Linked DNA regions of Schizosaccharomyces pombe. The gene in region 3 interacts genetically with the main gene of each other region. Each region holds a gene or a part of one and is shown on either strand. Other genes may lie near its edges. The genes, in order: dcd1, rfc3, ssb3 and rad54.

Region 1 (5,626 bases), on a different chromosome or scaffold from region 3:
CTGATTCTTGTCCAAAAGACTTATCTTCTGAATCACAGTTGGCATTCGTTGAACGTTGTAAATTGATAGTTAATGATGCTCTTATATTGGCTAAAAAGGTAAGTTTATATGGTTTTATTACTTGCTAATAATTCAAAACAGTTCCACTTTGATGTATTCAATGCTGTTACGGTTTTGGATAACAATCTATTCTTGAAGGACCTAAAATTTGGAGAAGGAGACGGTTTTTTGAACTATTACATCTATAATTATAACTGTCCAAAAATTCCTGGAGGAATCGATGCTTCTAAAAGTGTTGATTATTCGAGGCCTAGTGGAATGGGTTTTGTAATGATTTAAATCCTAAAATATTAAAATACATTATTTTTGATTTTTTTGAGTGTTTTTACTATTTTAAAAAAGTCCATATTTTAAAAGGTTTTTTGATATTAAATTTTTACTTATAGAACTTGTCATTTCACAAATATTAGGTTTTTAAATTTATAAAAAATATATAATAACTAGTTTTTATTTTCAAATGAAATTATCCCACTTGGTTTGCATAACATAAAATCCAAAAAATTTTCAATGTTTCATTATCCAAGGTTCTATATTTTTTTCTTGGTTATTTAATCAACATGACAAATGGTTTCATTAGTCCTTCAATCACCGTAAAATGTATTTAAATGGATGTAATACTGAGATTTGCATTTTCAGTTAGTGCATGTTTGTTTTTACCAAAAACCTATTCACCACCAAATTTTCGTCTAGCCTCTTAAATTGGCGTTTCTTGAGAACTATGGCTGATTCTCTAGTAGATATAAATGAAAGAATAACTTCACAAGGAAATCTTGTTCGATCTTTGAAAAGTCAAGGCGCCTCTAAAGAGGACATTGATAAAGAAGTTGCTAAATTACTTCAACTGAAAAACCTCAAACTTGGGGGTTCGGAAGTATCAGGAAAGAAAAAAGACACATCTTTTACACTGAAAACTCCGAAGGGTACTAAAGATTGGTGTGACAAAGATGTTGTTTTACGTGAGCACATTTTTTCAACTGTCACAGAGATATTCAAGCGTCATGGTGGTGTAACACTCGATACGCCAGTGTTCGAATTGAAAGAAATTCTTTCCGGAAAATATGGAGAAGACAGCAAGCTAATTTACGATTTGAAAGATCAAGGTGGAGAGCTTTGTTCTTTGAGATACGACTTGACTGTTCCATTTGCTCGTTGGTTAGCTATGAATCCCAAAGTTACGAGTATTAAGCGATTCCATATTGCAAAGGTTTATCGAAGAGATCAGCCAGCTATGACAAAAGGCCGTATGCGTGAATTTTATCAATGCGATTTTGATATCGCTGGCAACTACGATCCTATGATTCCCGATTCTGAAGCTTTAAAGGTTTTAGTGGAAGCATTAGATGCATTAGAAGTTGGAAATTATACTATCAAGCTTAATCATCGAAAAATTTTGGATGGCATTTTTACTGTTTGTGGTGTACCGGATGACAAAATTCGTACCATTTCCAGTGCTGTGGACAAGCTAGATAAACTCCCTTGGGAAGATGTCAGACGTGAAATGGTGGTTGAAAAAGGACTTAAAGAGGAGGTGGCAGATAAAATTAAGGAGTATGTGTTATTAAAAGGCGACCGCTCTCTTTTAGATAAGCTTGAAGCCGATAGTTTACTATCAAGCAATAGCTCGGCTGTTGCTGCATTTAACGACATGCGTCTTTTATTTGATTATTTGGAAGCTTTTGGAGTGTTAGATAGGTTTTCATTTGATATGTCTCTAGCGCGTGGTCTCGATTATTATACTGGTATCATTTACGAAGCAGTAACAGAGGCTTCTGCTCCAAAGATTAAGAGTTCGGCGGAAAAGAAAAAATCTGCTGATCCTGAAGCAGATCGTTCCAATGATGACTCTATTGGCGTTGGTTCGATTGCTGCTGGTGGACGTTATGACAATTTAGTTGGAATGTTTGCTGCAAAGAAAAACGCCAAAATCCCTTGTGTTGGCATTAGCCTTGGTTTAGAGAGGATTTTTTCAATTCTTAGATCAAAAATTCCTGATGAGGATATCCGTGCAAATGATGTTGATGTTTTCGTTATGGCATTTGGAGGTGGAAAAGAATGGACCGGCTTTTTGAAAGAGCGTATGTCTGTTTGTAAAGACCTTTGGGCAAATGGCATTAAAGCAGAATTTCTTTACAAAGTGAAACCCAAACCACGTCAACAATTTGACGCCGCCGATAAATTCGACGTACCTTTTGCTGTAATTTTGGGTCAAGATGAGTTTGCAAAGGGATCTGTTCGTATTAAACAAATGGGTTTAAAAGAAAATAGCGATGAAGGTCAGCTTGTGCCACGTGAGGAAATGGTATCAGTTTTGAAAAAGTTACTTAAATACGATTAAATATTCCTATAGCTCAATAATAATTATTGTATTATTTGATTGTTATCTCATCAATATTGTAAGTATTAAATAAAGATATTAAAATCGTATTTTCTGCAATCAAAAAGAGCGGTAATCTAAAAAGTAAGTTCTGTTATTAACTTAGAAAATGCTGTTTTCCGGAGGAATATATTGTCGTAATTGAACTCCTGCGGCTTGAAGGAGAGAAGCGGTATGGGAGTCCATGTTGTAAGACGTATGATAGACAACTGAGCATTAGTAAAAGATTAAAGAACTGAAACATACCTTCTTTAATCCCAAGCTGAGTAATCTTGACAGAACACGTAAGACAGGGACATCTTTCGACTGTTAGTAGCTTTATGTCTATATTTACATACGTATCACAGTATAATATTGCATTGTTTCCAACGCGTTCACGGCCAGCCTCTAAAAGAGCGTTTTCTTCGGCATGAAGACAAAGACAGGTATCAAGTTCTTTTCCACAGGAAGAAGCAGAATTGCAACGTGGACATCCGCCTTCATTACAGTTAGTGGCTCCTCTAGGTGTTCCATTGTAGCCTGTCGCAATAACACGATTTCCTCGCACAAGTACGCAACCGACGCGACGTTTCATACAATTGCTACGCTTCGCAGCCAGACTTGCCATTTCCATAAAGTACGAATCCCATGATGGGCGAAATCTATTGGGATTCAAAAGATCGGCTTTTTGAAGCTTCTCCCATAGATGAAGTTTAATATTGCTATCATTATTTATAAGTAAATTAGCCAATGCTCGGTGTCGAGTTCCAGCATTATCAGATTGAAATGCAGCCGCGTCTTGGATACTACAAAATTCTTCAAGTGTGGTATTCGCAAGAGAAGAATAACTATATGTCATCATTATTATTTCACGCAATATTCAGTTAATCATGAGGAGCTTATGTAACCGTGTAATTTCGAGCATGAAATGAATGAAACTAACAAGATATTAAGGTCCTTACACTGAACACATTGCGTGAAGAATAATGACAATGAATTTAAAGTTAGCAACAACATGTTGACATTGCAATATTACATACGTTTTGTAGCGATTGAACCTGAGCATAATTGGGGCATCAATATATACAAGCAAAAAGAACGGACGTTTGAGCAATGCACTTAACAAACGTGGACTATGAATTCCATTAATTACAAATCTTTCGCGCCATCTTGGAGTGAGATAGCTAATAAGATCGTCAACGCTGCCAAGGACTAAATCGCCAGTTCTATATATATATTCTCCATCCTCGTTTAGTTGTGGTAATCGAAAAATAGCATTGAAACCATGCTTTGTCTCAAGGTATTCAACAACGGCATCTTTTCCACTACATAATGGCCCTGTAAGACCAACAGTTGGCATATTTATTTGCTTAATAAATCAAACAAAGCTACTTAAGCTTAAGAAACGTATTTCAGTTTGATTATCTCCCCAAATAGTTAGAGATAGATCGGTTTTAACGTACTCACATACCTAATGATACTAACTATCAATACCAACAACGAGTTGCGAAAATGCTAACTTTCAATTTCGTAAAACTATGCTTCTATAATCTGTAATCTTTTTAAAAAATAAAATATATATTTAATGAGATTAAAAACTATTTGCTTCCAAATCTTCACGAATCCTTGAATATTTCAGATTTTACGTTTCACTGTACTGGACCAAGAATCTAAAAAATCCTTTTAGTGAATTCGAATAAAGTCGTTTTTGGTTTTAAGTGTATTGACCTCTCTTTTGCTGGTCACGCTAAAGTTTAGAGCACTCAAAAGTTGTACTTAAGTGCTGTGTACTTCAACAGCAACAACAATAAGATCATTAACTGTATATTGTTAAGGAGAAACTCGGAACAAACGCATTCAACTAACAATGAAACCATTTTTATCTAATTAATGTTCATCACATCAAATTTGATAATGAGCGCATTTCATGTAAACTCATGTGAAACGATGGAATCTGTCGAATAATATTTTTTATGTGCGAATATTCAGAATTCTTCTAAAAGTCCAGTAATTACATACTAATCGTTCGTAAAATTATGTTTACGGTTAGATTACTATTGCATCGTAGGCCTAGCATTAATTGTCAAGTCAGCAATTCAACAATGATATTTATATGTGGCACATATTCTTTTTCTCAACATCCTATTTAATGATATTGGAAAATTTTTTTGTTTTCGGGAAATTAAAACACTACAGAACTCAACTGGACTGAGGAAGAGGTTGAGTTATGAGCAGCTTCAGTAGTAAGTTAGAAGGTTAACTTCACGTACCAACTTAATTAATAATCGAGCTCACAGCAACATAAGTGATGATTGTTGGTGATTTAACGTATCATTAAAGCTAATTACAGACTACATAATAAGCATTAAGCCATTAACGTGTACTAGGTAATACTCACGACCGTACTGTAGAGCTCGGTAAGATCGTAATTTTGTCAAGTTTCCTGAGGTTTAATAACCCTTTGGTTGCAAATTATTGTTAATCACGATCTTGTAACTCCTATAATTATTGAAGTCAGTTTGCAAAGAATTTAGAATTTAAATCACCAAATAATTTGGGCATGAGATGAGTTTCAATCCTGCAGCTGGACTGCTGGGAAAATTAAAGAAATTATGGAATGATACAAAAAACGATTATTTGGAATGGGAGCGAAGCCAACAAGGTCAAATTAGTGAGTCAGTGGTTAAGAATCACTCACCCTCAAAGCGAAAGCGACGGCCATCGAAGGAGCCTTCCCTATCACCTAAGCGAAGAAAAAATATTTTAAATGATCAAAAAAAAGATGAAGAGTCAATACCTAATGCTGGTACACAATCACAAAATTTTACTCACTTAAGTGCATCTAAAATTCGTATCTCAGATGAGGATCGAATTAAGCCATTGGTAGATTTAAATCAAGATCACTCTTTTGACATGGCATACTTAACACCTGCAAGCGCTCCCCCTCCGCGATTTCGATTTGTACCTCCAAAATCTGACGCGAAATCTCATTCGGCTCCTAGATCGCTAGAAGGTGTTACTAGCTTATCTGATTCTCATTTCAATTCCCTTGAAGCAAACTTAAAAGCGATTTCGAAAGATAGCAACAATAAAGCGCACAATAATCGTTATGATGAGTCTTCGCTTACGAACCCTGAATTTTCCATCCTTGTTGAGCGTTTAAAAAGTATTGAAGAAAATTTACAAAGCCTGCAGGAAAGGATTTCTCATTGT
Region 2 (7,889 bases), on a different chromosome or scaffold from region 3:
TTGAAATGAGTGATGATGTTGAAGGAGGTCAGCTCAACGAATATCAAGAAAGAAAAACGCTTACTGCTAATGTAACTTCTTTGGCTTTAGGCCCCGTACAAGAAGGATCAAGAAGAAGTAATTTTATGTGCTTAGCATGTGACGATGCTACGGTGAGGGTGTTGTCTCTCGATTTGTACACAACCTTAGAAAATTTGAGTGTACAAGCCCTTAGTTCTCCTGCCAATTCTTTATGCATAATTCCGATGAACGTAAATGGTGTGAGTACTCTCTATTTACATATAGGTTTAATGAATGGTGTCTATTTACGAACTGTTATCGACGTTACATCCGGGCAACTTTTGGATACAAGGACTAGATTCTTGGGTCCACGAGCTGTCAAGATCTATCCAATAACCATGAAAAATCAAAATACGGTGTTGGCGGTGTCTTCTCGTACCTTCCTTGCATATAGTTATCAACAAAACTTGCAACTATCACCAATCGCTTATTCTGCAATTGATCATGCTTCATCTTTTGCAAGCGAACAGTGTCCAGAAGGTATTGTAGCGATTCAAAAAAATACTTTAAAAATTTTCACAGTCGATAGTCTGCAAGATGACTTAAAATCTGATATTTATCCGTTAATTTGTACCCCTCGAAAAATCGTTAAACATCCCAACTTTCCAGTTTTGTACATTTTGCAAAGTGAAAGGAACTTTGACTCATTTAAATATGCTCAAGAGAATGGAGATGTGGGTTCTTCGTATACGAAGGAGAAGCAAAATGAACACACATCAAAATCTTGGGTGTCATTTATATCTGTATTTGATATGATATCTAAAAAAATAATCCATGAAAGTCCGCTGGGCGATAACGAAGCTGCTTTTAGTATGACAGCCGCTTTTTTCAAAAATAGAGATGAATTCTTTTTGGTAGCTGGTTCTGCCACTAATATGGATCTTGAATGTCGAACCTGTTCTCATGGAAACTTTCGAGTATACCGGTTCCACGATGAAGGTAAAAAGCTTGAGTTAATCAGCCATACGGAAATCGATGGAATTCCTATGGCTTTAACTCCCTTTCAGGGACGTATGCTAGCTGGAGTTGGACGCTTTTTACGAATTTATGATTTAGGAAACAAAAAAATGCTTCGTAAAGGTGAGTTGTCTGCTGTACCACTATTTATTACACATATTACAGTTCAAGCTAGTAGGATAGTGGTTGCAGATTCGCAATACTCAGTTAGATTCGTTGTCTATAAACCTGAGGATAATCACCTACTAACTTTTGCTGATGATACTATTCATCGGTGGACTACTACAAATGTCCTTGTCGATTATGATACTTTAGCAGGGGGGGATAAATTTGGTAATATTTGGCTTTTACGCTGCCCCGAACATGTTTCTAAACTAGCTGATGAAGAGAATTCTGAATCTAAATTAATTCACGAAAAGCCCTTTTTAAATTCCACACCTCACAAATTGGACCTAATGGCTCATTTCTTTACAAATGATATTCCTACTTCGCTTCAAAAGGTCCAATTGGTTGAAGGAGCTCGAGAAGTTTTGTTATGGACCGGTCTTCTGGGTACTGTTGGAGTATTTACCCCTTTTATTAACCAGGAAGATGTTCGATTTTTTCAACAACTGGAATTTTTGTTGCGAAAAGAATGTCCTCCTTTGGCTGGAAGGGATCATCTTGCTTATCGTAGTTATTACGCTCCAGTCAAATGTGTTATAGATGGTGATCTCTGCGAGATGTACTATTCGTTACCTCATCCAGTTCAGGAGATGATTGCCAATGAACTCGATAGAACAATTGCAGAGGTTTCAAAAAAAATAGAAGATTTTCGTGTTCGTAGTTTTTAAACAAATAGCTTACAAATCCGTGAACTTTGACGAAGAAGATTTATAAAGGGCATCTCTTTATGCCTATCCTTCTTGAAAAACAAAAGTTTCTTGATGTCGACTCTTCAATGTTTGGCAGCTTTTTAATATAATTATACGTCTTATGTCGATAGCAATTTCTTCCATCTAGTGTTTTTAATAAAGAAGCAATTATTAATCCTTTCTCTGGTAAGACCATTCGATTTCAAAGTAAGTTTGGAAATAGGGGTAATTATAAAAAAAAATATAAAAGTTTAGTACTAAAATAAATAAATAATGACTGTTATACAGAGTTCCCATGAAAGGATTTTCTGTAAATGCCTACCAAAATAAAGCATACTATAAGTTGGAAAACAGCTATTACTGTAAATCTTTTGTTTACGAATTAACGATGGGTTACAATTCCTTAATCTTCTTTAACCTCAGCTTAGAACTCTGTAAAAAAAGTTTTGACCGAAAAAGCAGTCACTAAATTATCAACACTATGGCAAAGGTGAAATTGGAATTTCTTCCAACCACCAAGAGGTGCACGCAACAAAATGGCAGAATCCATAGCCCGTCCATCAGTTCTCAACGCTACTGATGATGATATCAAGAATCTCTTAGCCGCCGACTCCCACATCGGCTCCAAAAACTTGGAAGTCCGCATGGAGAACTATGTATGGAAGCGTCGTTCTGATGGTATCCACATTATCAACTTAGGCAAGACTTGGGAAAAGCTTGTTCTTGCTGCTCGTGTAATTGCTACCATTGAGAACCCAGCTGATGTTTGTGTTATTTCTAGCCGGCCATATGGACACCGTGCTGTCTTGAAGTTCGCTGCCCACACTGGTGCTACTGCCATTGCTGGCCGTTTCACTCCCGGTAACTTCACCAACTACATCACTCGTACTTACCGTGAACCTCGCCTTATTATTGTTACTGATCCTCGTGCTGATGCTCAAGCTATCAAGGAAGCTTCCTTCGTCAACATTCCAGTTATTGCCTTGTGTGATACTGACTCCATTTTGAACCATGTTGATGTTGCTATTCCTATCAACAACAAGGGTTACAAGTCCATTGGTTTGGCCTGGTATCTTTTGGCTCGTGAAGTCCTTCGTCTTCGTGGTAACATTTCTCGCACCACCGCTTGGGAAGTCATGCCTGATCTTTACTTCTACCGTGATCCTGAAGAGATTGAGCGTGAAGAAGAACAAAAGGCTGCTGCTGCTGCTGCTGCCGAAGAAGAAGCTCAATTGGCTGCTCAAACTGCTGCTGCTGAGTTTGAAGTCACAGACAGTGCTGCTGGAACCGTTGACCCAACTATATTGGACAATGCTACTGCCGGTCAGGTTGGTCAAACTACTTGGGAAGGAGACGCTGAATGGAATATTACCGGTGCTGCCCCTTCTGAATGGGCTTAATTGTTTATTTCCCATTTCATGCAGCTAAAAAACCATATCTTTGAGATCACGTTATGCTAATAAATAAGAGCCATTCGTGCAGTACTTATAAGTAGGTGTGTTAAATTTCTGTTATAATTTTAAGCTTTGGTTGTAGTGCTGAAACAAGATTATTTTACAGTACAATGAATAGATTATCATTTGGATATTGAATCTTGTCGTAGTGGTAAATATAAAAGAAAATGAACTGAACAAACATCGTCTCATTAGCTGTGTTATTTGTAGAAACAGTGTAACCAACATTGAGTGTTGTGGATATTGTATGAAATCGGCGATGCGAATGTTAACTACCCATATATGTTTAAAAGTTAGATTCCCAATGTTGTTTTTAAAATTTTAGTTCATTATTGATTACAAATTATCAGTGAGTCTTTATTTTGACAAATTTCGAACAGATAAAGTATTGTCAATTCTTGAAAAAATCGTAGGTTTTGAATGTGAAGTACTAACTTTAGTGCTGTTCGTTTTCTGATTAGCAATCCTTAGAACATCACTAATATGTACAACTCAGTACTAATCAAATTTCTTGAAACTTTTAAACACTTATATGTAGACTATTCTTCTCTTCGCCCAGTACAACTGTTCAGACTCCGAACCTTCGATGTCAAGCATTCATACAAACAATTGAAGCATTTTTCTAGACAGATAAAGGAGGTATTAACGTGTTTATTCAATTTTAAGTGTCCACCGTACATTGTATGAAAATCGTATTTAGCAAACTTTTAAGTGATAAAACTTGAATAGATATATAGAATCAGAAACATAATTACATTTAAATGTTATCTTCATAAAACTATCTGAAAGTAGTGTTTATGCGAGGATATTTAGTCAACCCAATGTAACTGACCTCTAGCATCTACATCTACTGTGCAATCAGTCCTCAAACCTGCAGTCTTCCAGCATGTCTATCGAAAAAGGTAAAGGGCGTGCAATGGACATTGACCTTCCTTTGGGAAGTGAGAGTACGCTCCCATGGTAAGCTAATTACAGTGATTCTGGTTACTTTGTTTTTGCACGATATTTACATTCGCGCAAAACTCGTCATGCCATTCAAAATTACAAATTTGAGGTCTTTTGTGTCTAAATATTTACTTGCCGATTTACCTTTTTTAAGTTCCTTTATATCTTGTTAACATTTAGGGTGGAAAAGTACCGACCAGCTAATTTAGAGGATGTGGTTTCTCACAAAGATATCATATCTACGCGTAAGATTGACCATCACTTTTTTCTGTCTTTTCTAATCAAATAAATAAGTTGAAAAATTCATTAGTTCAAATAGAGTCCCTCATATGCTGTTTTATGGGCCACCTGGCACAGGCAAAACCTCTACAATTCTTGCGTGTGCTCGAAAAATTTATGGACCAAATTACAGAAATCAGTTGATGGAGTTAAATGCAAGCGATGATCGTGGTATCGATGCCGTGAGGGAACAAATCAAAAATTTTGCCAGCACCCGGCAAATCTTTGCGTATGTCGTTGATGATATTTAGTTCCAACATATGTTTGACTAACAATTTAGATCTACTTTCAAAATGATTATATTAGATGAAGCCGATGCCATGACTTTGGCGGCTCAAAATGCTTTACGAAGAGGTAAGCCATTTTTTAAACAAAGTGTGGAAGATAAAGTAAAAGAAATACTCTATAATCTTTCCGCTTTTCTAATTCCTCGTTGTTAATCCCTTCCTTTTTCCCGTTAATTTCTTTTTTCCAAGCTAACCAGTTACTAATCAGTAATTGAAAAATATACTAAGAACGTTCGTTTTTGCATTATCTGTAACTATATCAACAAAATATCTCCTGCTATTCAATCTAGATGTACCAGGTTTCGCTTCCAGCCTTTACCGCCCAAAGAGATAGAAAAAACGGTTGATCATGTTATTCAAAGCGAACATTGTAATATTGACCCTGATGCAAAGATGGCCGTATTAAGGCTTTCCAAAGGAGATATGAGGAAAGCACTGAATATACTCCAGGCGTGCCATGCTGCCTACGATCATATTGATGTATCTGCTATCTATAATTGTGTAGGCCATCCTCACCCTTCCGATATTGATTATTTTTTGAAATCTATCATGAATGATGAATTCGTAATCGCTTTCAATAGTAAGTCATTCATTAAACTCTTCTTCACTTTTAGGATTTTTTCTAACTTTGTTTATTACAGCCATTAGCTCAATCAAACAGCAAAAGGGTTTGGCCTTGCAAGACATTTTGACATGTATCTTTGAAGCACTAGACGAGCTTGAAATAAAACCAAATGCTAAAATTTTTATTCTGGATCAGCTTGCAACGATTGAACATCGAATGTCTTTTGGATGTTCTGAAAAAATACAGCTTTCAGCAATGATAGCGAGCATTAAAACTGGTGTTGATTTAGCAGCAAAGGTAAATTGAGTTGTGAACTAATTCAGAAAATCATTAATGTCGACTTTGTTTTCAACTCTAAAGTAAATATTTCATATTGACTATTTCTATCAAAAAAAAATTCTAGTCCTATTTAGAAACTTAAACAATATAAATTGTTAAAAACTCAAAAAGCAGGAACTGATAATGTACAAATAATGAAAAGAAACTAAAAAATAAAGGTAAAAGTACCTAATTATTGGAATAGCACTTCTCAGTTATACTTTAGGTTCAACGAGCACTCTTCTCCAAAAGCACAAATTCGCGAACGGCATTGACTAATTGTTTTTGAGTAAATGGTTTGGTCAAATAAAAATTCATTCCAACCTCTAAGCATCGCTGTTTTGCAGATTTCTGTATATCAGCTGTTAAAGCAATGACTGGGATTGGAGTTGAGCAATTATTTTCACGTTCGTAAGCACGGATATCCATAACTGCTTCTGCACCATCTCGGATGGGCATATGGTAATCAGCAAATATTACACTATAAAAACCAAATTGTTTAGCCTCATACATTTTAACCAATTCAACGCCATCTACCGCGGCATGAACTTGGAATCCTAAATTGCTTAATTGTTTCGTGAGCAACTTTCTAGCAATCAAATTATCTTCAGCTATTAGCGCATACTTTTTCTGAAGAATCTCCTTCTCTTCGCTAGAAAGAACAACTGCTTGATCGACCTTCCTAGGTGATGCTCGAAATTGAGAGGGCTCGACAAGTTTGGTAGGAGTTGACCATTTACTTAGTAATGCGGGAAAGTTTTGTAGTAACTTTGAAATGCGTATTGGCTCCCTGAAGCAAAATATTCTGCTTTGGTTTTTATTTAAAGAGGTTATGAATGGATCGCCGTCAGATCGTACTTTCGTTCGTTGAATCGACGGTAACAGAACAATAAGTAATACCTTGTTCAATTTTTGATTACTAAGTATCTGAGTAATTATTTGTTCCGTCTGGCCGCTGGCAGCTTCGATACAAAGAAAGTCATAAGGTTGTCGCTTATCTAAAGAATCAATTAACTGCTGTTCGATATCACTGTAAATAGTAGTTGTATCAACTACAGCTAAGGAGAAAAGAGACCTGAAAATAGATCGTGATGTAGTAAATGATTTAACTACAAGTATTTTAGCATTCTTAAGAGATTGTCGAATATTAGCAAATCTCTCATGGCTTTCTTCGAAATGTTTCTGAGATAACTTAGAAGTAACGTTACGCAATTGGACATGGAACCAGAATGTAGAACCTTCTCCATAAACAGACTGAACACCGATGTCTCCATCCATTATTTTGCATATTTGAAGGCAAATAGAGAGCCCAAGGCCTGAACCTCCATAGATTCTAGTAGTGCTACCATCGACTTGAGTGAAAGGATTAAAAAGCAGTTTAAGTTGCTCTTCTTTAAGTCCAATTCCAGTGTCCTCAATCTCAAATCTCAATTTGCATTGATTTTCTTCTGCATTTATTTCCTCATCAATAGCCATACAACGTAACAAAATATGACCCTCCGTTGTAAACTTTACGGAATTTCCAAGGAGATTGGTAATAACTTGTCGAAGCTTTGCAGAATCACCAGCCAATAAAGCTGGAACATTCGGATATATGTCGTATGAAATTTGAACAGGTTTAGAAGAAAGAGAAGGGTATACTAACTCAATGCAATCTGCAATATTCTCTTCAACATCAAAGACTTTGTCAGGCTCAAGTTTCATTTTGCCTGACTTCAATTCGCTGAAGTTCAATAGATCATCTATAATTTGGACCAACGATGTGCAACTCTGTTTAGCAGTGCTAACTATGTCATACTGCTCTTCATTTAATTTGGTATCACTAAGCAGAGAAAGCATCCCATAAAAACTCGAAAACGGAGTTCTCAGTTCATGAGACATATTGGCAAGAAAATTAGTTTTTAGATTGACAGCATGCATTGCAGCTTCACGAGCTTCCTTTTCATCATTAATATCTATACAAACAACTATCCACTTTTTAGCATTAGCATCTTCTTTAAATGACAATCCACGACACAAATGCCAATGGTAATTTCCATCTTCCATTCGTAGAAGCAATTCAATGTCGCCAAGCTCTAGAGTTTTAAGGTTCAATAATTTTTCTTGAAATTGGTGATGATGGTCCGGGTGTATGAATGTTTTCCAACTGAGTGAATCATGACAATCTTCG
Region 3 (6,810 bases):
AGTGGGAGCCATAGGACAATTTGCATCAGGATAAGGAATTGGTGCATTCCAAGTACCATCAGGATCTAATTCCTTAGGGAACTCAAAAGATGCTTTAGACTTCAAGGCAGGACTGTTCTCATTTGCTTTAATTGGCGATGCTACCGTTGACTTAGTAGAGATAATAGTAGATTTATTAGGAATGTCAAATGATGCAGCTTTTTCTTGAAGCTTTGGAGCAGCTTTAGCAGATGCTGCTGGTAATACCTTATTAGGAGTAGAGGGCGCTGTACTGCTGCGTCCACCTTGGAATTTGGGAGCCACCTTGGGACTCATCGCTGGCAACACTTTACTAGGGGTGGAAGGGGCTGTAACGCTATTGCCACCCTGGAGCTTCGGGTTCATTTTAGGAACTGTACTTGGTGGCACTTTTCTAGGAGTAGAAGGTCGTGTGTCAGATATACTTTCGCTATGCGGTTCCGGATTTACTTTAGGACTAGTGGTAGTTGGCAACGGCTTTCTCGGAGTAGATGATTGTGTCTGAGAGTTTTCTACCAAGGATGCTTTACTGGAATTATCTTGACTTGAGGGATGATCTGAGCCGGATTCTGGAATTTTGTTATCAGTGCTCAACAAGCTTGGGGGGCTATTTTGCACCACCTTCTGTTTATAGAATTGGCTAGGAACGATAGTGTCATACGAAGAGACAGATTGTCTTTGGCGCTGCATTGTCCCAACGATTCCTTCAATGTCTCCTTCAGAAGAATGGAACTGAAAATGCCTTTCATCAGTGAGAGGGGCATTGGAGGCATGTTCAGTTTTCATCGCATCCTCAGTCACGGCTTTTTCATCTGAAATAAAACGACTAGAGTCGACGTCAGTTTCTTTAGCGGCTTCATTTACCGAAGCATCGCCTAAAGAGGTATCTCTTCCGTCACGTTCCAAATCACCAACAACAACTTCAACGTCTCCGCGAAGTGAATGAAACTTGTAATGCTCTGTGTTTGTAAGCGAAATTTTGGTATTTTCATCACAAACAGCTTTTTCAGATTTTGCAGGGACATTAGCAGATACAGGATGCTCAGTAGGTTGTTTTTCATCAGAAACCGTCTCACTGCTATATGCTACTGCATCCGGTGATTTTAGCGGATTATTCGCAATATTTGGATTAACTTTCTCAACTCTTTTTTCAGATTCCGTAGTAGAATTAATCTGATCGACATTAAGTTTGCTATCAGATTTAGCAGCAGCTTCATCGACATTTATTTTATCATTCATATCTACATTAAGTCTGGGTGTATCTGAATCATCGGGTGTAATTTTTGGTTCAGCGGCAGAATTACCTTCGGAAACATCTACCGTTGGAGCTGAACTACTCATGGCTGCATCATTAGCTTCAGCTTTATCAGATTGGACCCTGCGTTGAGCGACCTTTCTTTCACCTTCAGCATTACGAGTTTTTTGGTTAGCTGCTTGAATATGCTGCAAGTTGACTGTATTTCTCATCTTTGAGGCAGGAGATGAAGAAGACCCTGTTTTGGTATGTACAGTAGGATTACCAACAGGTACAGATTTTCTGACCTCGTTCGAAGTGGAAGATGTGCTAACATTAGGGCGAGCAGGACGCACATTAGAGGCGGGTCCTTTGGCAGCAGTATTTTCTCTTTCATGAATACTGCTGGTATTGCTTTTATGCGATTTTCCTTTTGACTTGCCAAAACCAAGTTTATGGAGAAACTTACTAAAGCCGTTGTGGCCATGATGGTGATGTTCCGAATCTTTCATCGTGGTTTTGTATCGATAAAATTAACGAATGTTGGTTTTGAATAAACTATTAACAGTTTAGATTGCAAAGGGTATTCTTTTCACCGTAAAAGAAGAAATATCAAAGGAAATTAGAAATAATGGAATTAAATGAAAAAAGGTATTTTCCCAAGACTTAAATTACTATAGGGTTCGAAATACTTAACTCTTTTCTTTTTTCTCTATTTTTAGTAAGAGATCTCGATGGTTTACCATGAATTCCAGGATATCTTTTATCTCTGTTTCGACCAATTTAACATGCAAGCAAGTTAGATTATATTCAAAGAAACGTGTCTGATCTCTAAAGATAAGGCGCAGACAGAAATGCAAAGAACAAATGTCAGATATATTTAGAGTATTTCAATCGGAGCAATTCCGAAACAATCCAACTTCTGCATATGCACGTTTTCTAACGTTATTTCTCTAACAATCTCAATAACTGCTAAACAACAGTTTTAGCAAAAAAGTTTGTAAAGGAAAAAGTAATATAATAATTCTCAAAACAACCAATTTTCTTTAGGAATAAGCGATATTCAGCGTAGTACCACTAGATATACTTGCGTTGCTCGCTTTGTATATATATGGTAGTTGGATTGTTACAATGGCAGGGTGACTGAAGGATGAGCAAACGTAAGAAACACCGGTATGTACCGTCTTCGGAGCCGAATCGTCCGCGATGAGCATCTCAAGGATACACTAAATAAGATAGTGCGAAAAAAGGAGAACGTTATATAAAAATACTCAAACAAGAATCAAAAAAAGTGAAATAAACGATAGTAAAATTCATATTTGTATTAGCCAAAAGGAAGAATCATTATAAAAGAAAAGCTTGAGTTTAGAAATGCAATAAAATATGCAAAAACCAAAAGAAGGAAGCAAGATTCTGCGCGTTTATTCTTCCATGTTTATTTGTACTGTGCATGAGAAATGAAAGAGAAATCTGTGTTGTATGATCCATAAAATGTTTCTTATTCAAAAAAAAGTGAGTTATACTTATGACTGAATAGAACGAGTTTCTGGTATACCTCCATATCTAAAGGAACAGGAAATTAGTTAATCGGTCAATAGAATGTAGGACTTAGCAGAAGCAGAAGTTCAAAGGACTTCCTTATTATTTTTATAAACACAACTTACCAATATCAGTGCCAAAATCAACACAGGTTAAAAGCTGCACCGAAGAATCTGGTTTGACAGAAACGACAAATTCATAGAAATGATTGGGTTCAAGAGTGTTATCCTAAAATTAGTTAGATAAAATAAAAAAACTCTGAAAACCGATTGTAAAATAGATAAAACGTACCACAGTGAGGTGCATATCGAAAGAACCGTTGGAATCGACTTTTGCAGTTTCACCTTCAACTTGATTCGCCTTGCCAACAATCCGAACCGTTTTTCCAGAGCATTCTGGTAGCATATCTTTCGTAACTCGAGGTGTAGGGCGTTCCATATTATTTTATACGCGTTGTTTATAAAGTGGTGGAAGTGAAGTATGTATCAGACCAGGTAGTTAACTACTTGTTGACACGAATTATTTAAAATATTGGAACGCAGTACGTTATGTATTATATGTTGGAAGGCGCTGGGATGTAAATAAAAAAGCAAAAGCGTAAATATAAACGCTGGGGGCTAACGTTGATACATTACTGTTCTATTTTTTATAAGAATTATTCATAAAAAAATCTCCTTGTATCCTTCTGCGTTAATTTCACTACTTATTAATTGGTTGAAATGTTGTAAATAAACGGGTTAAAGACCAATATAAATACGTCTTACATATAGTGATTTAAATAACATTATGGAAAGATTTCATGGTATTTTATACTATTTTTGAAATCGTCGGCGACTCTTAATTTTCTCTCTTTTCCAATACCACTATTAGTAAATTGCTTAGGCGTAGACCAGAAGCTTCAATAATTAAAAGTAAATGTAATTGATGGAAAGCAGCCTTCTTTTAATGATATAATTTTTCAATTAGTTTTACCTTGAGGTTGTGATTTCATGTATTTCACTTTGAAGTCGCCCATCCCCTCGACCATTCAATTCAAAAAAAAAAAAATCAAAAAACTCCATACTCATATTGAAATCTTTCTTCTGTTACATTAGTTATTAAACCACTCTTCATTTACATTTGCAGAGCTTGTTACCTTAATACTTGCTAGTACCTAAAAGTGCTCTGGTTCAGCTCTCTAGTCGAATTTACCATCAACACTATTTTTGGTGTTACTAATTATAGGGTTTTTGCCCATGAACTATAGGCAATTGTTTCTTCTTCAAAATGTTAATTTAGAGTCTAATTATTTATTAAAACGTGTATGCCTGTCTTTAAAATTGTCTCCTTGTAAACTTACAAGGAAATTTCATCATGCTTGCCCTTCCAGTTCAAAAGTTTTGAAATATTTCCGCATAACTGGATGCCTAATAAATTTCGGGAAACAACCAGCAAACGATCATCATCTTTGGGGACATTGTGGTGCGCGTTTGAAGCATACTCAATCAGATCTTATTGATCGATTTAAAAATGCTAATTTGAAATCCGTGAATGAGGAAAACCTTAAAAAATTTTTCTCTGAATTAGAAAATCATGGAAACATTAGACAGTGGTTGAAAGACAAGTTCGAGAAGGACAAACGCGCTGCTGTTTGTCCTACTACTACAAAATCTGAGGAAGAGAAGTTGGAAAATGATTTTGAGTATTCTTTTGATTTAGAAGATTTCAGCAGTGAGAATTTTAGACAGTACGATCGTGGAGATTTGCTAGTGTTTTATAGGGGCTCCGAAGGCATTGAACTTGCTGCATGCACTGGTACTAATGTTTGGAACTATAGTAATGTATTGACCAGCATTAACGAAAACGGTACTATTAAGGAATTTCGTACATCTAGAGTTTTACTGAGATGTCCTAATGTCTTTAAAAAGCTGAAAGAGGTGCAGCAACCTCTTTCTGATGTTTCTGTTCCTTCTGATGTCCTACCTTTCACTATAAAGTTATTAAAAAAAATCTCTCAAAGAGCACAAGATTTAAGTCGAAGTCACCGAAATGAATTTTTGCGAATATTGACAGAATTCAATATTCCAAATAAACTTGACAATTCAGCTTCTTTTTCAGACCTTTTGAAATTTGTGTACAAAACTTCGAAGCCTAGCCCATATGCTAAAATCTCATTGTTACACTTTTTGCTTACAGAAAGCAAACATTTTTTAATAAGCGATCACATATTTTCCGAAATTCAAAAAGTCTATTTCCTTCCCTCTTCACAAAATGATTCTTTTGACGACGTTGTTGCATGCCTGCGTCAGAAATCAACACCATATCTTTCGTTTATAAAGAAAGCTCGTCATTTAATTCAAGTTTCCCGAGATAAATATAAGTTACCTATAAGCACCGAAGAAATAAAACCCGTAGTTTATTCACAGGTCACTTGGACTGAATTTGAAAAAAAACTATTGCGGTATCTTGTTCAGGAAATGATTGCAAAAAGTATTCAAAGTTTACCAAATACACACTTGTGTCAGGTTTACAAAGAAGTTGGCCTTCAAACTCACGAGAGGGGATTAACTAGTGATCAGTTTGCTAAATTCTTAACGGATATTGGCGTGTGGGCTTCATGGCAGCCCCCGAGGTTGTTTCAACAGGAATACAGCATTGCTGGCCTTGGTACTAATCCTCAGTTAGATGCTGTGTATGAACGTGAGTGTAATCACTTTAAAAAGTTTGTAAAAAATGAATTAAAAGATTCACTTGAATCGCAACGCGTCGATTTAAGGCATCTTAAAGCGTTCGCCTTTGATAGTTCTTCTACGAAAGAGATAGATGATGCGATTTCGGTTGAAGAATTAGGGATGTCTAATTCCTGGCTTCATATCCATGTTGCTAATCCTACGAGTACAGTTGACATTCGCAGTCCTTTAGGCACGTTTGCTGAAAGGAACTTTCAAACTATTTATCATCCCAACAAAATTGTGTATATGCTACCTCTCAATATCACTCAGAAATATTGGAGTTTAGATTCATCTTCTACAGCTCAAAGAGCATTAACTTTTAGTGCTAAAATTTCAAAAAATGGCGATATACTTGATTACAAGGTTCGGCCTAGCTTCATTTCCTCAGTTATCAAATACACACCCCAACAACTGGATAAAGCTTTGCATAGTAATCGATCAATTGCGAAAGACATCGTTTCTGGACCAGTGGATGAGGAAACAAAAGGAGTATCAAATGATCACATGAAAGATATATTAAGAATATATGAACTTTCGAAACAAGCCTGTTTTTCTAGGTTACAAAAGTTTGCGTTTGTTATTGCACAACCCACTCCGACAGTTGAATTGCTGCCTAATAATGTCCCTTATAATCTTGGTGATCTGAATCATCCAGTATACTGGTCTTCCTTCCCTACAATTAGTTTGAACGTTAGTGAAGGGTATAGCTTGGCAGAATCAGTAATATCAGAGTGCATGATATTGGCTGGCCGGGTTTCATCATTATTTTTTCAAGAACATAAATTACCTGGGATTTTTAGGGGCCAGCCTTATCCAATTATGGATGGTGTACGAAGAAAAGCGTTTGAAACTTTGTTAAGTAACAGGTCATCTTGGGGACTCGTTGAAACTAAGTATTCACTTTCTGTAATGCCTTTATTTGAAAGTTCACATTTAGCCTCCACACCTGTTTCCCACTTTTCTTTGGGGCTAAAGGATGGCTATATTCAGTCTACCTCTCCTTTACGCCGGTTTACCGACTTCTTCACTCATCATCAGATTCAGTCGGTATTATTAAAGACTCCAAAAAATACTATACCTGATGGTATTCTTCGTGGAAAACTAAATTTGTACAACCAAAAAGAAAAATCAATTAAAACTATAGGAAGATACATTAATCGTTTCTGGGCCTTAAAATATATAGAGAGACTTCCAAAGGTACAAAAAAATATTTATCATGGATATTTAATGGTTTCAGAACTTTCAACACCTCAGGTCATGTTGGAAGAATTGGGTGTTAAAGCGCATATTGATATTCTCCCGGACGAA
Region 4 (5,062 bases), on a different chromosome or scaffold from region 3:
TCCGTTGCCAGCAAACTTGATATTTGTCGATTGGCTTTATAATCCGGGTCTAACTACTATTGAATGTTACTATTTTTGTTAAGTAAATATGCATATATAATATTTAGAAGTAATATATAAGATTGCAAATGAAACAACCCTTAAATAAATAATTGGTTATGTAAGCTTCTACCTATATTGGAACATTCACGAGTTTGAACGTCCAAAGTATTTAGACATAAGCAATGTTTATATAAGCTATTAGAGTGACAAAAAGCATATAAGATGTATGCAGTTTGCCTAAAAGTAGCTACATGGTTAATAACAAAAATTCGAGACATCCCAATCTTAATATAGAAAAGCAGTGCTAAAACTGTCACGGGTTCGAATACTAACAAATGCAATTTCAAATGTTTCAGAAAAATATGACAAATTATATGCTCTTAACAATTGAATATAACATTCTAAAAAAAAAAATTTATTTCAGCATACCTGTAAATTCGTAATAATTTTGTCACAAAGCTTACCAAGGAGTAATTGAGGTTTGGTAGGATACAATTGAGGGTTGGATATTAATTAAATTAAAAACTATATTTTAAAAACCGGAATTAAATTCATGATATTGTTTTATGCATCGAATAGCAAATCAAACAGGGATAAAGAGAGGTGAGAGTAGTTTAAAGACAAATCAAACTAAATGAAAATATGAGGATTTGTGAAGAGAGCAGCGTAATTAAACACGTAAAAATTAATGAGATTTGTATTGGAAAACGGTACTCACTTGCTGTTTTCCTGCCTCACGTTTTAGCAAGTGATCTTCTATTCGGTCTAATGTGGGATTTGTAAAATGATTCCATGTGCTAGTATCACCGTATAACATGGCTGGGGCTCGGATGAATTGTTTTCCATCACGACACCGTTTACATTTATATGTTTCATGAGTTTCACAGACTGTGTGATCGTTAAGCTGAAACAGCTGCCTTAAGTTATCAAGCGAAAAATGTCTTTCGACATCTTGAGCTTCATCCACAACACAAGAAGACAAAGATTGCTTATGAGACTGCCTTTGGAATATCTTTTCTTCGATGGTTCCAGTAGCTATGAAACGGTAAACAAAGCAGTCCTTCTTTTGCCCATCACGCCAAACTCGAGCTAAAGCTTGTTGATCGGCGGCTGGATTCCAATCGGGATCAAACAGAATAAGACGATTAGCGCCAATAAGGTTAATACCACAACCACCTGCTTTAGAAGATAATAAAAACACAAAAGCATCCTTTTCCGGGTCATTGAATGTGTCAACTAAACGTTGTCGTTTATTTACATTCATAGTACCATCTAGCCGAAGAGCCTTGTAACCGCGAGCTCTACAAAGCTGCTCAAACAAGTCAAGCGTGGAGGTGTAATTGCTAATTAAAACAATTTTATCGTCTGTCTCTTGTTTTATTTGATAGAGCATTCGTTCCAACACTAACATTTTACCTGATAAAGAGGAGTCAATGTTTCTATCGCGCCCTCTTAGCTCACGGGGAATAAATCCTGGAGGGAATAGAGCCTCACAACCTTCCAAGTCCTCAGTTAAATTCAATAGATCAGGATGATTACATATTTTTTTTAGCAGACCTATAGCTTTTAGTGGTTGACTGCCGGTCCCCCTTAAGATTTTATTGATTTCAGGCGAGGTAATAAAATGCTTGTACAAAGAAAGCTGAAATTCGGAAAGGTTGCAAAAGACAACATGTTCGTATTTAACAGGCAAATATTTGGAGAGAATATCATTCGTACGACGAATAATAAACCGATTGACAATCTTGGCTAACTCAGCTAACTTAGCATCACCATTCTCCTTATCTTTTTCTGTTCCGTCAGCATCACGACCTTTTAAAATTGGAATTTCATAATTTTTTCTGAACTCTTGCCTTGAACCTAACAACCCAGGATTCGCAAAATTTAACAACGAAAAGTATTCGCTTAGATCATTTTGAATAGGGGTACCAGAAAGGATGACACGCCTTTGAACGTTTAGCTTGTCTAATGCCGTAAAAGTCAAAGAATCACTATTCTTAAGACGATGACCTTCGTCACAAAGAAGCATTCCAATTTCTGCGTTGTTGAGATGCTCAACATAACTTCTAAGGGTTTCATAACTGGCAATAAGCACTGGACGTGTGACTTGTCGTCCATGTACGGATGCCCATTGTTGCAAAGCCATGATTAACTCCTGTTTGGAGCTTTTACCGTCCAATATGAATGGAGTAATAGCATCTTTTCCTAACCATTTGACAAGTTCATTAGCCCAATTTTTGACTAAAGAAGAAGGACAAGTTATAATTGCCTTTTCAATTGTCGGTTTTCCAGCCTGAGGAGACTGTTTTAAAAGGGTCCATAACAAAGCAATACATTGAAGTGTCTTACCAAGTCCCATCTCATCTGCCATAATACATCCATTTGCACAACGGTCAATCCTTCCAGTTACACACTTGTACAAGAATTTGACACCTTCTATTTGATGAGGTCTTAGAATACGAGCAAGTTTTGGATCAATGACAACAGCAACAGGAGGAGGTGGAGGTTTTTCTTTCTGAATTCCTAGTAGATCTTTCAAACTTTTATTTGGTCTTCTATGCTTTGAGGTATTAGAGGTTATGAGACTTTGCTCGGTAGAACAGCTAGCCACTGTGTCAGTGGAGACACATGAATCATGGTCACTTTCAGGCTCACTATCAGAAATTTCTTTCTTTCCTTTTCGATTTTTTAACAATTCATCTTTTTTACGTTTTTCCGCTAAGACCTCTTTTATATCAGGAATGATCTCATCTGCATCAGTAGTGGGATCATATAAAACGATAGCAAATTCATCAGCAGGATCGTAAAGGGGACGAGGAATAAAATCCACCTTCCTTTTCATTCCCAGTGTAGGAGGTGGACGATGTGCACACAGTTTAGATATATCTTCATGACCCTTGATAGGTTTAGGCACAGAGAACTGTTTCTTAATGACTGTTGAGGGATCTCGTCGTTCATGATTTAGTATTAATCGATTAGCTTCTTTGATGGTTGCCAACCCAGACACATTTTCAGATACGTAAGCTGAATCATACTTCCCATCAACAGAACCATATTCGCTGTAGTTAACTCTTGGCTTTTTGCGTAAAGGAAGCTCTTTTCGCTTTTCTGAAATCACTAAAGAAGGGCATTTAAACTTTTTAAACAACTTTCCAGGAACATTCTCTTTGTTTTTTGATAAAACAGTATTTAACTTTGAAGAAGTAGAAATTCTAGGTTTAGCAGTTGTTGGTTGCTGAATCATTAAATATATTAGCAATTATTAAAAAAGAGATTACTGAAATAGAAGAAAGGGTAGGAAAAGAGGGATAAGGATTCAAACAAAAAAAAAAGGAAAGTGCTGTTTATACCAATGGTATGTGTTGAGAAATATCTAGATGTATATATAAATTAAATTCTATTACTATTATAGCGTGTCGCGTTCTTTAAATTACGCACCATTGTTACCCTTCACTAAACATGGTATACAAATAATGAAATTGTGAAATATGAATCAATTATTTCTGGTATCGGCTAAATATGTGTTACAAGTTTGTTATTGGTAATAATTTTAGCTTCACTATCTAACATTTCTTGTAGCAAATTTTATGGTTTACTAATACTTCGAATTATTAGCCTCATAACATTTGCGATAAATCAAGTAACTATTTTAAACTAAAAGTAAAATAATAAAGCATCAGTCTCTAACAAAAACATTACGGGAAATAAAAATTAGCTAATCTACTATACTATTATATCTTCATAGTCAATAAACCCCCCAAAAAAACATAGTATTACTATATTAAATACATTCCCTAACATTTGACAAAAACCTCGAACTTTACTTCTTACCTCCATCCTTTTCATAGTTTTCTGTCTTCATATCGTTCAGACCCAATTCCTCATTTACTTGGAATGAACGTTCATACTCCTCAATAGTCATATTTGGATCTGGATCGGGAGCGTAATAATTCTGCAGATAACTTTGTGAAAGAGGATCATCTAAAATAAGAGTGAATTGAGTAGCACCCTCACGTGCAGCCGTCAAGTTGCAGAGAAATTGTTGCCAGTTAGCGACTTGCTCAGGAGTCATAGAATCGGTCTCCTGAGAAAACACACGGCCATATAACTCATCATAAACTTGAGCTAGAAGACCTTCAATGGTTGTGAATCGTCCACCCAAAGTACCTGGGAACAAATCAAGTCCAAGTTCAGGAATTTTAAGAGATGCGGTTTCAGATTTGAGAATATCACGGGATAAGTCCTCGGCATCCATGACCTTTAAAGTAATTTTTCGACCTTTGGGTGGAATTTCACCACCAGTTTTTACTTCGTTGGAACGATATCCACAACGATCACAAACAGTAGACATGATAATAACTTCTTTGAAATGGGGAATATCAAGCAACTTCATGTGGGTGTCACATTGATGTGAACAAGAGGGACAAGTTGCATGGAAGGTATGTACCTCATTGGGATCGACTTCCACAGCAGTAGCATCATGTTTAAGTGTATTAGAAGCGTTGTTTGTTTGTGTCTTGACGTCTTCAGGTTGATCAGTATCCACAAGACCCAGCTTCGTATTCTGCTCCAAAGTACGCTTGTAGCTAACCTGAGACCATCGGTCACCATCTCGGCCAGGTTTCATCTCGATCCAGCTGTTGCCCGTAATATCGTCAACTGTGATGGTAAATGGTACAGATCCAGAACGTAGACTATTCACTTTCTCAATGAAAGCATTTATTTGGTCATATAACTGAGGAGCAGACTCCTTACGAGATTCTTGTTCTTTACTTAAATCATCCACCACATTACTCAGAATCCCCTCAATGGTAGTTAACTGGCCTAACCTTCCCGGGATTTCTAGCTGAATTTCAGGAATACTGACAATAGCCTCCTGGCTCTTTACAACTGTCCGATTTAAATCTTCCTTATCCTCAACATGGAAAGTAATTTTGCTTCCTTCCGGTTGAATTGTCTCAGCGTGTTGAACTTGCGCATTCTTAAACCCACAATGAGGACATTCAAACGACATTAAAAC

The links.
Region 1: mutations in ssb3 (region 3) and dcd1 impair growth when combined (synthetic growth defect), as found in Schizosaccharomyces pombe (one study listed by BioGRID).
Region 2: mutations in ssb3 (region 3) and rfc3 impair growth when combined (synthetic growth defect), as found in Schizosaccharomyces pombe (one study listed by BioGRID).
Region 4: mutations in ssb3 (region 3) and rad54 impair growth when combined (synthetic growth defect), as found in Schizosaccharomyces pombe (one study listed by BioGRID).

What each region holds. Positions count from the first base shown.
Region 1 is NC_003423.3:3,456,462-3,462,087, forward strand, and holds dcd1 (deoxycytidylate deaminase), read right to left. Parts: upstream 3,859-5,626; 5' UTR 3,774-3,858; coding exon 3,454-3,773; exon of another isoform or gene 3,306-3,453; intron 3,262-3,305; coding exon 2,773-3,261; intron 2,734-2,772; coding exon 2,681-2,733; intron 2,644-2,680; coding exon 2,537-2,643; 3' UTR 2,396-2,536; coding exon of another isoform or gene 704-2,395; 3' UTR 501-703; downstream 1-500. Other genes in the region: myr1 (N-myristoyltransferase 1), read left to right, coding at 1-98, 142-339; histidine--tRNA (His) ligase Hrs1, read left to right, coding at 704-2,395; protein Csi1, read left to right, coding at 4,979-5,626.
Region 2 is NC_003424.3:4,032,105-4,039,993, reverse strand, and holds rfc3 (DNA replication factor C complex subunit Rfc3), read left to right. Parts: upstream 1-4,161; 5' UTR 4,162-4,211; coding exon 4,212-4,285; intron 4,286-4,450; coding exon 4,451-4,515; intron 4,516-4,564; coding exon 4,565-4,778; intron 4,779-4,829; coding exon 4,830-4,903; intron 4,904-5,044; coding exon 5,045-5,416; intron 5,417-5,477; coding exon 5,478-5,707; 3' UTR 5,708-5,849; downstream 5,850-7,889. Other genes in the region: prp12 (U2 snRNP-associated protein), read left to right, coding at 1-1,850; rps002 (40S ribosomal protein S0B), read left to right, coding at 2,408-3,271; phosphorelay sensor kinase Mak2, read right to left, coding at 5,948-7,889.
Region 3 is NC_003421.2:1,279,136-1,285,945, forward strand, and holds ssb3 (DNA replication factor A subunit Ssb3), read right to left. Parts: upstream 3,267-6,810; 5' UTR 3,230-3,266; coding exon 3,083-3,229; intron 3,020-3,082; coding exon 2,917-3,019; intron 2,816-2,916; coding exon 2,751-2,815; downstream 1-2,750. Other genes in the region: pdr16 (sec14 family protein), read right to left, coding at 1-1,764; rpm1 (3' ssRNA-specific 3'-to-5' exonuclease), read left to right, coding at 4,027-6,810. UniProt on the Schizosaccharomyces pombe protein: As part of the replication protein A (RPA/RP-A), a single-stranded DNA-binding heterotrimeric complex, may play an essential role in DNA replication, recombination and repair.
Region 4 is NC_003424.3:3,679,860-3,684,921, forward strand, and holds rad54 (DNA repair protein), read right to left. Parts: upstream 3,407-5,062; 5' UTR 3,287-3,406; coding exon 728-3,286; 3' UTR 501-727; downstream 1-500. Other genes in the region: EF-1 alpha-binding zinc finger protein Zpr1, read right to left, coding at 3,863-5,062. UniProt on the Schizosaccharomyces pombe protein: Plays an essential role in homologous recombination (HR) which is a major pathway for repairing DNA double-strand breaks (DSBs), single-stranded DNA (ssDNA) gaps, and stalled or collapsed replication forks.